Linked DNA regions of Tamandua tetradactyla. The protein of the gene in region 1 purifies or fractionates together with the protein of each later gene. This does not show direct contact. Links are inferred from orthologs where the notes say so. Each region holds a gene or a part of one and is shown on either strand. Other genes may lie near its edges. The genes, in order: GET3 and UBL4A.

The links.
Region 2: the proteins of GET3 (region 1) and UBL4A purify together in Homo sapiens (affinity purification with mass spectrometry; 4 studies listed by BioGRID and IntAct, with this or other methods). This does not show direct contact. The link is inferred for Tamandua tetradactyla from reciprocal best matches to the Homo sapiens genes GET3 and UBL4A.

The regions. Positions count from the first base shown.
Region 1 is NC_135337.1:89,874,009-89,881,368, forward strand, and holds the start of GET3 (ATPase GET3), read right to left. Parts: upstream 3,183-7,360; 5' UTR 2,975-3,182; coding exon 2,814-2,974; intron 2,069-2,813; coding exon 1,921-2,068; intron 1-1,920. Other genes in the region: TRIR (telomerase RNA component interacting RNase), read left to right, coding at 4,373-4,714, 6,519-6,596, 6,863-6,970.
Region 2 is NC_135353.1:6,801,355-6,807,929, forward strand, and holds UBL4A (ubiquitin-like protein 4A), read right to left. Parts: upstream 1,789-6,575; 5' UTR 1,739-1,788; coding exon 1,691-1,738; intron 1,559-1,690; coding exon 1,453-1,558; intron 1,206-1,452; coding exon 985-1,205; intron 866-984; coding exon 755-865; 3' UTR 734-754; downstream 1-733. Other genes in the region: SLC10A3 (P3 protein), read right to left, coding at 2,742-4,163. UniProt on the Homo sapiens protein: As part of a cytosolic protein quality control complex, the BAG6/BAT3 complex, maintains misfolded and hydrophobic patches-containing proteins in a soluble state and participates in their proper delivery to the endoplasmic reticulum or alternatively can promote their sorting to the proteasome where they undergo degradation.

The DNA.
Region 1 (7,360 bases):
CACAGAGGGACTCCCGGCCTGCCCCTCTCCATCCCCTGCCCATATCATCTCTTCTTGGTGACTTCAAGGAGGACGAGGTCCCCCATGTGCTGGCCTCAAAGGCCCTTCCCTCCAGGGGGCTTGCCAACCTGTTACCCCCGAGCCATACCCTTAGTGGGTTATTTCTAGTTGTTAGGCCACCTCTACCCTCCCACCTAAGCTCTCGCCTTCATCTCCTCACCCCCTGCCTTTCTTATTCTTCACATCTTTGGGCTGCTTTGTCCCCTAACCCCTGCCACTTTTCCACTGCTGGTGTCCTTCTTAGCCAGCACCCTTATTTGCCCTGGGTGCCACAGGCTACCTTGGCAAATACTTCCCCTTCCCTCTGGAGTTGGCAAAGTCCCCAGCCTGGTAACTCCCAATTCCCTGGTATTGCTGTGCCTGAGGATGTGCCCAACCTGATGAGTAACTCCCATCTGGGTCCCCCCTTTCTGGTCACAAACTGCCAACCAGCAGTACAAGCCAGGAGACCATTTGGGTCCTCCTTTCCCCCTCTGAAGTGCTGATGTCACATCTTTTTCCTCCTCAGACTTCTGTCCCCTTCGCCCCTCTTGCTCTCGGCTGAGTCTCTCACTCACCTTGGGTGTCTGAGAAAAGAGAAGCCATTGGGAAATGCCCCAATTCTGTGCCTTATCTCTGAGTCCCTGATCCTGGCAAAGCCCAAGTCCTGGGCCATGTGCCAGATGGAGCTCAGGCCTGGGGATTGTCCTCTGCTAGAATCGTCTTGGCATCCTGCAGCATCATTTGTTCCTCCCTGTTGGAGTGTTTGCTGCAGCAAACATGCTCTAGATCTTCTTTCTCAAAAAGCCCTCCTTACCCCACATCCCCCTCCAACAATGTCCTGATTTCTCTGGTGACACCTCTTAGCAGAGTGGTTCAGAACCATTACCACCTCCTCATCTCACCCACTCTAGCAGAGCTTTTGCCTCTGTCTCCAAAATGTTTGCACCTGCCAGAGTGATGACCTCTTCTTGCTGGAAACCCTGTCTCTTCCTGGTGCTTGGGACCCCACACTCCCTGGCTTTCCTCTGGTTTCACTGGCGGCTCCTCCTCCTCCTCTTCTGGACCCTAAATAGTGATGTGTTCCAGGGCTTGTTTCTGGGTCTGTTTTCTCATACTCTCATCCATTCACACGGCTTTAATTACCACCCTTGGGACAATGACTCCCAAATCAAATATTTAATTAACTTGCTGTCTAAAGATATCTCAACTTAGATGTCCAGCAGGCACCGTGGATTCACCATGGCCAAAACAGAACTCTCAACTGGTCCCTCATAAACCTGCTCCTCCCCTGGTTTTCCTCATCCCAGCTGCTTGGGGAGACAACTAAGAGACGTATTTAATCCATCCTTTTTTCTCACCCATCACGACCAAGACATTTCACTGCTTTACTTCCAAACACATCCCAAATCTGACCACTTTTCTTCCAGACTTCTGCCCACACGCCTGTCTGGGCTGCTGTCATCTCTCACAGCCTCCTTGCTTGTCTCTCTGCTTCTACCCTTGCCATTACGACCCACTCCTCATGGCAGCCAGAGGGAGCTCTCTGGGACGTGGAATTGGCCATGCCATTGCCCAGCCTAAAACCAACAGTTTCCCATTAAACTTGGAATCAGACCAAACCACTCACTGTAGCCTGCAAGGTCCTACACTACCTGGCCACGGCTGACCTCTCTAACCTCGCTCCTTTCCCTCCTCTTGTTCACTGAGCTGTGGCCACTCAGCTCCTCAAAACATTCCTTACTTGTTGTCTGTGGGTATGTTGAGGGAGGGGTGGAATCAAGAGAGACATAAAATGTAGAATGGGCAGGATAGGGTGGCTGATGGTGGAAGAGGAGGGGTCTTTGCCAGATGTGGGGAGCTGAGCCCTGCTCCACTCACCATGGCGAAGAGGTTGTCATAACCTTTGACCTTGGTAGGCACCTTGGAGAACTTCTGGTCAAATGCGTCCGAGATGTTGTGGGCTGGGTCTGTGGAGATGATCAGAACACTCTCCCGCCCCTTAGAGAGCTGGACCGCCAGGCTGCAGCTGGGCAAGGGAAAGGCCGAAAGGTGGAGAGAAGGAACTGGACTCCCCTGTCCCAGGTCTGCAGGGGAGATGTGGGACCCTAAGAGCGGGGAACCTAGATTAGCAGGGTCCTTGAGGCAAAAAGTGGGGGAGAAAGCCTCAAGTCTCAATCCCTGCAGGGAGCACACTCCCTGACCTCACTTATTGGCCCCTCTGGCTGGTGCTTGACCAGCTAGCATATGTGCAGTGTGCCCCTCCCTCATCTCTAAGTTAAGGGGTCCCTAGCAGCTGCTGCCAAGCTCAGGATGGTTCAGTCCACTTGTTCAAGAGAACTTGCCCCAGCGACCCTTCTCTCTCCTCTGAGTTGAGTCTGGTTTGGATCAGCTGCCAGGAACAGTCTGATTAAGTGCCCCTAGACAGGTTCAACTATCCAGAGTAGTTTGCCGTGTCCCTCTCCCTCCCTCTACTGTGAGCTCACTCTGGTACAGCTGGTACAGCTGACTGGGACATCTGAGTGCCCTCCCAGCCCCCCCGTGAGCTGGGTTCACTGTGGTTCGGCCCTTGAACCGAATTGATGGTTCAATTCAGAGATTGCCAGGACTGCGTTCAGGAAGTATTTTCCTTTCGTTCTAGGTAACTTTCTGACAGTATAACTTGGAAGACTCCGGCGCAGCCCCCTTACCCGGGTGGAAGCGCCCATCTCTGACCTCCCCTTTTCCATGGTACGTCCCACCCGTTCTACTGGCTCCCGCCGCAGTCTCCTTACCTGCAGGTGGTCTTGCCCACGCCACCCTTGCCCCCAACGAAGATCCACTTAAGGCTGCGCTGCTCGATGATGTTGCTTAGCGTGGGCTCCAGCGGCTCCACATCAGGCGCATCCTCGAACTCCTCCGCCTCAACCCCCCACCCGGCCACCCCTGCCGCCATCTTGGAACCGGCTCACGTGACCGAGCGGAGCGCACCATGCAAAGAAACAGAGGGGGGCGTTCTTCGTGTCATCCCCATCAAGGCTCGGAGCCTGAATTGGTTTCCTTGCGGCACGTTTCCAGGAGTGAAGAAAAGTTCTGCTTCTCATATTTTCCGCTTCTAGGGCTCCCCTTACAAACCTCTCTTCTACAGCCGTCTAAATACTCTCCCTGCGTAAATAACATATTGGTACGTCTCAGGCTACTCCCCTTCACTGATTGGGCCCAAAGTATTGCAGCCCGCCTTTCATTGGCTACATCTTTTCTGACTTCCACCAATCACTCTACTGTCCCGGTAGCGCCAACCTCGCCTAAGCAACCCGCCAAACACTCGGTGCCTGCCCTCCCCGCGAAGTTACGTCCGAGGTCCACCCCGGCCTGACAGCCCAGGCTCAGCTTCGTGTCGATCCTTTCCCCCGCTTTTCTCCCAGTTGGGTCTCCACAACGTCTCAGGCCCGCTCCCTCTGTTATCAATTGACTGCGAGCCTCCTGGCTCTTGCTGCACACCGATCAAAGATGTAATGAATAGTTGACTGGAGTCAGGTCCCCGGGTTGCGATTGGGTTAGAGAGAGAAAGATTCCACTTGTGGACAGCGTCCGTGCATCCTGAGCCGTATCCCCGAAAACTTCCTTGCTCTTGCACCCCGTTCGAGGGGATGTTTGAGCCTCTGCCCTGGGCAGGAATACAAACTGCGTCCTTGGCCTTGGCGAGGACCTCAGTCCAGAAATACTTCTATCCTTAGGTAGGGACTCTAGCCTAGAAATACCCCAGCTTCATTTGAATTCTCCAGCCTAAAACATACCCCTAGTTTCAGGCAGGGAACCCAGCCGCACGGAGCTAGCTGTGACCCCATTCCCAGATGGGAGCACCATCCCAGATACAGGCTCTCACCTCAGAGGTGACCCCATTCTGGGCGGGGTGCCCAGTTCAGCGATATCCTTTACACTTAGTTGGGGACCCAGTTCCAAAGCGTCAGTTGAGCCCACCGCCCAAGACGGGGTTCCTACCCACAGATATTCTCCCGGGATCCTAGCCTCGGAAAGCTATTGTGCCCCCAGTTCCAAAGGGGGACTCCAGTCTAGAGGACCAGCTGTGGCCCTAGTCCCAGACTATAGTCTCGTTCCTGGGGCGCACGGATCTGCGTAACCACAAGCCGAACCCAGTTGGATTTTAAAAGCCCGCCCCGCCCAGGTCGCTGGCCTTCGTTCGCCCCGCCCCTCGGGCCCCGCCCTTAAGGCCGACGCCTGACGGCCAGACCGCTCTTCCCGGCATGCCTTGCCCGGGACCAGACGAGTCGGGCGCCAAGCGCGGGGCCGGAGTGGCCTTCCCGCAGTCCTTTGCGCGGCACCTGGCGACAAAATGGCTGCCCGAGGGAGACGGGCGGAGCCTCCGGGTCGGGAGGCACCGGGCCCTGCGGGCGGCGGCGGCGGCGGGAGTCGATGGGCAGAGTCGGGGCCTGGGACGTCACCCGAGAGCGGGGATGAGGAGGTGTCGGGCGCAGGCTCGAGCCCGGTGTCAGGCGGCGTGAACTTGTTCGCTAACGACGGCAGCTTCCTGGAGCTGTTCAAGCGGAAGATGGAGGAGGAGCAGCGACAGCGGCAGGAGGAGCCGCCTCCGGGTCCGCCGCGTCCCGACCAGCCGGCCGCCGCGGGCCCCGGGGAGCCGAAGAGGAAGGGCGGCCCGGGCCCCACGCTCAGCTTCGTAAGGAGCCGCGGGGGTGGGGGCGGGCGCCAGGGCCTGCCCTGGCAGGGGTGAATTGGGGCCCGAGAAGGGGAATCGGAATTCAGATTTACCCCCGCCCAATCCTGCCCGGATGAGGAGGCTGGGGCCGTTCGGGCCACCCGCTGAGTATGCAGAGCCTGGATTCCCGTCGAGAAGGGTCTGGGAGCGGGGATTCCCGGAAGCTGCCCGCGGGAGCCGGAGAATCGCACCGGGATACTAGGATTCCTGTTTGAGTGGTACCCGGACTTTGGATCCCCGACTGTGGGGAAGGAGGGCCAATTTAAGTGCTGGAGTCTGAGCTCTGCGGAGTTAGACACTCAGACCGCTTCCTGTTTAATCTTAGGAAAATTGCTTAACTTCCCTGAACCACATTTGTGCAGTGTCCACTTATTGAGCACCTTACCTTGTGCCGGGCATTGTGCGAGATGCTGGATATGCAGGGGTTACCATGACAGACAAGAACTCTGCTTTCTTGGAGTGGGCAGGTTGGCCTAGCCTCGTTTTCACTATTTGCAAAAACGGAGATCCTAGCATCTTTGAATATGGTAAGGGTATATGATGAAGCAATCCTAGAATACTCGTTAGCTCCTGGCCTGTTTTATAGGAAAGGCTGATCAGTGGTTGTCCACGGAGTATGATCCCCCCGCCCCCCATCCGGGAGATACATTTAGCAAAGTCTGGGGACATTTTTGATTGTCTTAGCTTGTGGGGGAGGGGGTGTGCTACTGGCATCTAGTGAGTAGAGGTCAGGGATGCTGCTAAACATTCTACAATGCACAAAACAGACCACCTCAGCAAAGAATCCTCTGGCCCAAAATGTTGATAGTGCCAAGAACCAAAATCTCTGGTCTAAATAAAATAAACCGGACCTTTTTTTTTTTGTCATTCCTGGGCTTGCTTTATCTCTGGTTTTGAGATTAAGTCCCCATGGTGTTGGAGAAAGAAGGGCTGATTTGAGAATAACAGCCTGGGGCTGGGGATGGGGTCAAGTCCTGGATCCAGTTGTGTATTACTGGACATGTATTTGTGTATTTTGAGTGTGGTTAAAGTGCTAAGAAATGGGCTGGTGTGAGAACCAGCCTGGGAGTCGAGGCTGGGTGACCCTCTGTGAGTGGGAGTGGCAGGAGTTATTAATGTCTTTTTGTTTGTTCATATTGAGGGGCTGTTGCGGGAGCACCTACAGAGTAGCTGGGCCAGGTTAGTGCAGGGAAGATGGCATTGCTCCTTTAAGGATGCTGTGTGTAGCTCAGACCCACCTGATCATGAGGCAAGCCCCATTTTAGCTGCCAGCATGACCCAGGGGCAACCTCTCCTCCAAGCCTTTCCTCTTCTGTAAAATGGGCACAGTTATAATGGTCATCTTGGACTAACTGTGAAAGTGAACTGAGATGATAATGTCCAAAGCACTTGGCCCAGAGCTTAGCATACAGTAAGTGCTCAATAAAGGGAGAAATTTTCACCCACGCAGTCCCTGCAAGGAGAGGATGAGGCCTCAGCATGGAGAGTGAAGAAGGAGCCTCTCCCCACTGAGGCGGGTGCTCTTCTCACTCCCAGGGAGGGCAGCGTGGGGGCCCAGGACTGCCTGGGCATCACGGGCTGGGGCAGGCGCTAAGAGTCGCGTGTGCTCCTCTCTGATTGCTGCGCAGGTTGGCCGGCTGGCGGAGCTGGGCGCGGCGTCAGGACGGGCCGCCAGGCCAGGCTAGGAAGGTGTAGTGGGCCTCAGCACCGCCACGGGCGGGCCCCGGCTCCCGTAACCGTTGCAGTCTTCTGTCCCTTCACCCAGGTGGGCAAGCGCAGAGGCGGGAACAAACTAGCCCTCAAGACGGGAATAGTAGCCAAGAAGCAGAAGACGGAAGACGAGGTGAGCAGGTGTTGGTGTGCGGGGGCGCCTACCCTGTCTTTCTCCTGAGCCCAGTCCCTCCCAGAGTGGTGCTGGTGGGGAAGAAGGGCCTTACACAGAATCCCCAGATATCTTGACCCTGCCTGTCTTTTCCCTCACACCTAGGCCCTTCTGGAAGGGCAGCACTCGGGGTGGGTAGCTGCCTCTGGATAGTCTTGACCTCAGATCAGAGCCTCCCTGACATCCCACCCCCCCACCCCTTTGCTCCTCTTCCTCCTCCGTCCCAGGTATTAACAAGTAAAGGTGACGCGTGGGCCAAGTACATGGCAGAGGTGAAAAAGTACAAAGCCCACCAGTGTGGTGACGACGATAAGACTCGGCCCCTGGTGAAATGACCCCTCCCCCCACCTGCCCATGGCCTTGGACTCTTTGCGATGTACATACTATTTAATGTGGCAGCAGCGGCAGCAGCCTTCCCCCCGAGGACTTATACACAGAAGGACACCGAGATGTTTTCCTGCAGCCGCGGACGATTCTCCAGGACTCTTTTTTACCTTGAGCACTTGCCTCCTGAGACTTCATAGAACAGTGGTTTACTGTCCACCCTCTTCCCGCTGCCCCACTCTCTCTGGCTCTCTCTGTCTTCCTCTTCTCCCACCCTCCTTTCCTTCCCCTTAGTCATCACTTCTGGGAAGTAAAGAACTTGATTTAGTGCTGGAGTCGTATGCGTGGTCGGCTTTCTTTGCTCTCTAATGTACACCTTCCCCCCACCAGCAAGCACACCC
Region 2 (6,575 bases), on another chromosome or scaffold:
TGGAACTGTCTTCCTAGGTGACCTCCCACAAGTCACCTGTCACCCTCACGGGGAAGCACTGCCCCCTTCCAGGAGAAGACAAGCGTAGGGAGTGCCCCGGAGAAGAGTTGTACCCCATCTCCGGCCACACTTGCCCAGTGCTTCCTTTTTGGCCTCGGTTTGTTTACTTTACACAAGAGGGGAAAAGGCCCCCCTGGGGGGGGGGAGCAAGAAGGAGGGACTTAAACGGACAGGGGGGCCCTCATCAGGCAGAGTCAATGGCTGGGGGTGCCAGTATGGCACAGGGCCTTGCCCAAGGTCCCACCCGAGAGCCCCCCACCTACTTTCCCTTCGTTGAGAGCACACTGGCCACAGCAGCCCCGGGGAGGCTGAGGGTGGGGGCCAGGCCTCCCATAGGGGTGAGGGCAGGCCTGGGCTCCTGGGCAGTGGCTTCCCCTTTCGGGCTTAGGAGAAGAGTTGCTCAAAGATGCATCTGCGGTGGGCTCAGCACTGAGTGCCGAAGCCTGTCCCTTGGAAGCCTTGGAAGCCACTTGCTGCTTTCTCACCCTGAGGTACTTCAAGAGGCTGGCTCCTGGCTATCCCCGCCTCTCCTGAGGGGTCCGTGGGCGAGCCAGGCCAAGTGTTTTGAGTGGGGCGTGGGCTGTTATTACTATGATGAGCCACGTGGCAACCTGAGAACACATTTCATGCAACATGCAGCTACGGCTCTGCCCCCCCCACCCCCCCCCACCCCCACCCCCCCGCTCCAAGACCCTTATTTGGAGAGCCCCTTCTCCAGGGCCTCGGTCACTTCGGGGTGCAGGAAGCGGCTAGCCAAGCGTTCGATGTCATCCAGTGTCAGGCGGCTCAGGGACCTCTCGTAATCCTGAAGAGAGAGGGGCCAGGAGGACTCAGGGGGGTGGCGGTGCCAGAGGCAAGGTCTGGAGGCAGCTGGGACTGGAGGGACCGGAGGCCCAGGGCGTGGGGATGCTATGCAGTTCTCACCCGCTGGAGCTGCTCCAGGACCCGACTGGCATCTGCGGCGCTGAAATGTCGGCCTAAGACTTTGGAGATCAGCTGCCAGGTGGCGGGGGGTGGGGGTGAAGGCGGCGCCTCGGCCCGTCTCCGGGCCGTGTCTGCTTCCAGCAACACCTTCTCCAGGGGCTTGACTGCTAGGTTGAGCTTGGAATTGGGTCCGATGCTGTAGTCGGACAGTCGCTTCCCATCTGCCACAGCCAAGTGGGTGGCGTGCCTTACCATCTATGGCTGGGTGCGGGGGAGAGCGGGGGCGCCCCCGAGGAAGTGCTGCCCACCCCAAAGAGCGCACACCGAGGAGGCCCTGGTTGGGGACCCTGCTTCGGCGCCCGAGGGTCAAGCAGGGCACTCGGCGCCCGCCGGGGGGCAGGGCGCGGCCTCTGACACCCAGCTCCCCGACTTCCTGCGGGGCTCCCTGGGTGTCTCCACCCGGGTTACCTGCCAGGGCCTTGCCCTTGAACAGCAGCCGCTGCTGGCGCACGGGGACGTTGAGCTTCTCGGAGACCAGATGCTTGAGCGTGGCCACCAGCTCGTCCTCTGACACCTGGACGGGCCGAAAGGGGGTGGGGGGTGGGGGTGGGAGCCGGGGTTGAGCCCGCCAGCCTCGGGCCGCGCGGGGGTGGGCTCCCCGGCCGCCCCGTCCCCACCCGGGCCGGGTCCCGCGGCGCGCCGCTACCTGCAGGCTGCACTCCCGGCCCTGGAGCGCCTTTACCGTCAGCTGCATGGCGGCCGCCGCGCCGTCCACTGCGGCCCGCGCGCGCCCTCACCGCCCGCCGCCGCCGCCGCCGCCGCCCCGGGAGCGCGCCGGAACCGCCCGCCGCCGCCGGAAGCAGGCCCCGCCCCCGTTTCGCCCCGCCCCCTGGGGGAGGAGTCCCGCCGGCCGCCCGGCCACGGCCACGCGCGCGCGCTGGGGGCAGAGCCCTGCTGGGGGAGGAGGAGGCTCGAGGTGGGTCAGGGGGAGCCCCGTCCGGGGAGCCGGGCCAGGGGGAGGTGGCAGGTTCCCGCGACCGCGCTGGCCGTCTGCGGCCCGATGGGCTGCCTCTCCCGGAGTCCGCGAGCTTGTCCTGCTCTGGGCCCAGGCAGTGCGAGCGGGGTGACTGGAGGGGAGGGCCGCCCCGCCCTGCCCCGGCTAGCTCCGCGTCCCGATTGCTTTATTTCCCCCCCGCACCCACCCCCACTCCTTTTCTGGTCTAGCTGTGGAAAACCCAGCTGAGTTTGCGAGCAGGCGGGGATTGCCCAGCCCCATCCTCCCACCGCTGTCTTCGAGAACCCCGAGGCCCCACCCCTCACGGGGTGAGGGAGGGTGGGGCCTGAAAGAGCCCGACGCCCATAAAAACCAAGGCCTGAGCGCAGCCTCCTTGCCCTCCGCAGCTGCAGATGCCCAGACCAGGCAGGACCCGGGGGCACCTGTGCTCAGGCCACCGCGCCCGCTGGCCGGCCCTCCACCCTGGTGCACACCTACCCGGCACCTCCGGCCCCCAAAGGGCAAAGATCAAAAGGGACCCAAGCTGGCTTTCTCTCTTTTATTGAAATATCGTTTTGCCGGGCAGTGCCCTCACGCAGCGTGGCCTCTTTGGCACTGAAAGCTGGAGAATAAAAAAATCGGTACAAAAAATAAGCCTGGATTTTTTTTTTTTTTGAGTGCATAGTGCATGAGAACTAAAGGCCTTTGGTACACGCGGACGGTGGGTGGGCCGTGGGGCCTCGGGTTGCTGGAAGCTGGGTGCTCAGGGAACTGGGAACAGGCTGCTGTAGATGAAGTGGCCAACCACCATGGCCAGCATCTCCGAGGTGCCGCTCAGCGCCACGATGAAGGGGGCCTGGGAGGCGTAGTCGGCCTGGAGGCGGCGGAAGGACAGCTGCAGCACGGCCAAGGCCAGCAGGCTGTTCTGCACCCCGACCTCGATGCTCACGGTCCGCCGCTGGGCCTCAGGCAGCTTCAGGCACCTGGCCAGGCAGTAGCCCACCAGGAGGCCCACCAGGGGCACCGTGAGGCCGGCCAGCACAATGGGGAAGCTGACGCCCACCAGGATGAAGACCCCCATGTGGTAGGCCAGGAAGAGGCCGCCCAGGAGGAGGACGAAGCTGAAGGGCTTGATGACCTGCAGCAGCAGCTGGGAGAACTTGGGCAGCTTGCACTTGATCACCACCCCTGCCGCGATGGGGATGGCGATGAAGAGCAGGGTCCCCAGGATCTTGGAGATGGGCAGGTGGAGCGTCTCGTGGATGCTGAGCAGGTGGCTGTACATGGCGGAGGACAGGGGCAGCAGGCCGGTGGCGGCCACCGTTGAGATGAACGTCATCGAGATGGCAAGGGTGACGTCCCCTCCGAGAAGAAGGCTGAAGAGGTAGCTCCCCCCACCCCCGGGTGAAGAGCAGGTGACAATGAGGCCGAGCGCCAGGGCCTTGGGCAGCATGAAGGCCTTGGCCAGCAGGAAGGCGTAGAACGGCATGACAAGGAACTGGCCCAGCAGGCCAAGCAGCATGGGCTGGGGGTTCTGCAGAAGCCCCTTCAGGTCCTGGAGCTCCACCTTGCACCCAAACGAACACTTGTTGACGAAGATCAGCGGCAGGAGTAGGTAGAGCAGGGGGTTCTCCGAGAAGTGGACCAGGTCGGTGCTGAGGCTGGTGGGCGTGTCTTCTGCCGGGGAGACCTTGATGCGGAAATCTCTCCGCTCCTCAATCACCACGGGCTGGGCCTCCCGGTGGTCCAGGAGACTGATGTGCAGTGGGGCCAGCCCCGCCAGGCCGGAGCGGATGCTCACCACGAAGCCACGCCCGCCTCCCCAACTTAAGGCACTCACGTTCTGGATAGTTAGCACCTCCGTGTCCAGGGAGGTGACCCTGAGAGTGGGGCCGGGCCCTGTCCCGTTGTGCTGGCCTGGGTACCGGCTAGAGATGACGATGATGCCCTCGCTCTCCTCTGGGAACTCAAACTCCATCACGGAGCCATCCCCAATGTTCAAGTAGTGGGCCCCCGGAAGCGGCCCGGTGGGGCCCAGAGCCATGCCGAGGCTGGCCCCGGCTGTCCCTCGGACCCCCCATGGCAGGCTGGCCAGCAGCAGGGTAGCCCTGAACATGGCCAGGGGGCCTGTGCAATGACACCACGCGGCCTGGTGCCCCTTGGGGCTGGCCCTCCCTAACAGCATGGCTTCTCCCGGGCCCTCCTGGGCTTAGGAGAGCAGCCCAGCTGGTGCCGTAGGAGCGTCCTGGGGAGGGGCCATGGGCGAGGTCTGGCTTGTGCTGCCTTCCTTGATGGTGTGCTCTCCCTGAGGACAGAGGGGACACAGAGAGGAAGCCGGTGAGGGAGACTGCATGCCTCCGCGGGTACCGGCAGCTTGGGGGATGTGGAACACAAGGGCAGTGCCCGCTGCTGGCCCTTGAATCTCTTCAAGCTGTCCCCTGTCCCGGCATAGCTGCCTTGCCCAGAGGGGCACCTAGGGGCAGGGGTTCTGTTCAGTCTGCCGGTCTCCACGGATGTCCCTGGCCTGGCCTATCGCAGTGACAGTGCAGAGATGTCCTGAGTCAAAGGGAGTCAAGGGGAGTCACCCCAGTCCTGGCACCACTCCAACTAAACTACGTGTGCCTGTCCCCCACCGCCTTTGCCTTGGGGCCACAGTGATCCCACAACCTGGGTGAAGTCTCTGAAAGGCTTCCTGGAGATGACAAAAGCAAAAGCTGCTGCTGGGAAATGCTGGTCGGGCCAGACCTGGGCACCTTCGACCAAGTGGGCCAGGGAGTTTGAGCATCATTTCTGGGGCACAGCGAAGTCAGCAAAACCATGTGGGCAGTGAGTGACCACCAGAAGGCCCCCAGAAACATGGTTGGGGAAGCTGCTGCTGTGGCTACCTGGCTGCCCTCCTTGTGGACAGCAGAAAAGGCAGGTTCCCTTTCCCTGGGGAAGTTGCTGGAAGGAGCAGCAGGAGGGGATCAGATAGGGCCACATGTCTGCCTGGGACTTCTCCTTTTCCCCACATAGCCCCCACACCTCTGGCAGTGCCAGAACTTGAGCTTCTGGAGCTGCAATATCGTATCTGCAAGGCTCTGCTCAGAATGCAGACACTCCTCTCCCCCCACCCCACCCCTCACGCATTCTGGCCACAGCCTCTAACTCTCAATGTGACTGTGAGTGTGTTGGGGTGAGGGGTGATGGGGAGAGGGGTGCTCAGAGCTAAAGGGCCAGGTTTTCCTCCCTCCCCTTCTGGATTTCCACAACCACTGCCTTATTGTCACATCACCTGCTGGAACTGGGGCAAACAGGATGGGGACAGTTGCATGACAGGACTCTCAGTTGCCTCACACCTCACAGAGTCACGGTCACGGAAGAGCCGCCACCTGTTCCCCCAGTTCTAGTACTCTTTGGCCCTGGCCTATGCCACATTGGAGACTGGGGAGGAGGGGGAGGTGGGGGTGGGGTGGAGGATAGGTGAGGCAAATAGGTCACCACCACTCCCCACCCACACACACAATGACACGGCCTCTGCTGGTTTGGGAGCTTCGGTCACCCACCCCGAGGCCTTGGTGGAACCTTGAGTCCCACGGGGTGGGGATGGGGGTGGGGTGGGGAGGGATGCTGGAAAATCAGAGGACTGGAGGAGACTCACATGGACAAGATAAAGGCACCCTGGACCGAAGCCACCAGGGCGGTGCCAAACCATTTCAGACAGGAGAGAGGGGCCACGGGCCACCCACCCCCATGCCCCCATCTTCCCGGAATGGCTGGCGGCGTTCAGTCACCGCGCAGACTAGACCCCAGACCCCTTCTGCCAGAAGAGCCGGCGGGGTCGGGCCAGGCGGCATGGCAGGGCACGCTGTGGAAGCCGGGCCCCTGAGGCGTCGTCCCCCCTGGCCGGGCTGTGGCGGCGACGGTCGCGGGAGCCTCCCCACCTGGGGCTCCGGAAGCTCGCCCAGCACTCCCCGGGGTCCGAGCTGCCTCTCGCTCCCGGGCGCCAATCGGGGAGACCCGGTGGGAGCGCGGGGGTCAGGGCAGCCCTCGTCCCGCTCCCGGGACCCACGGCCGCGCCGGGCCTCGAGCTTGCGAGGTGGCCGGCCCGGTCCTGCCGGGGCGCCGGAGCGAGGCTGGGGCCAGACGCGGCCTTCCGCCCTCCCGCCCCCCGCCCGGCCCGGAGGCGCTCACCTTCCGCGGCCGCGGAGCTCGGCGCCGGCGCCTGCCGGGCCCGCCGGACGCCTGTGAGCTCGGCCCTCGGGGCTCCGCCCCTCCCCGCCTCGAGGCCCCGCCCCCGTGCCCGCCCCCTCCCGCGGCGGACCACTCACCTCTCGCGTCCGGGTTGGGTTCTGACCGGATGTGACATTACTGGGCGCGGCGAGGAGGGCGGAGGTGGGTGGTGCCTGGCGGCGTCCCGAGTCCCGTGGGGCCGCCCATGGGCGCGCCTCCTCCAGTCGCTGAGCCTTGTCGCGCGCCCTGTGCCGGGAAGGGGCCCTAGCCGTGCCCCGCAAAACGCTGGGGCGTGGGGCAAGGGGGACACACGGTTAGGGCCCGGACGGGGATTTCGGCTCAGAGGTGGACCAATCCGGACCCCGGGGCCCAGGCCTCATGCCGA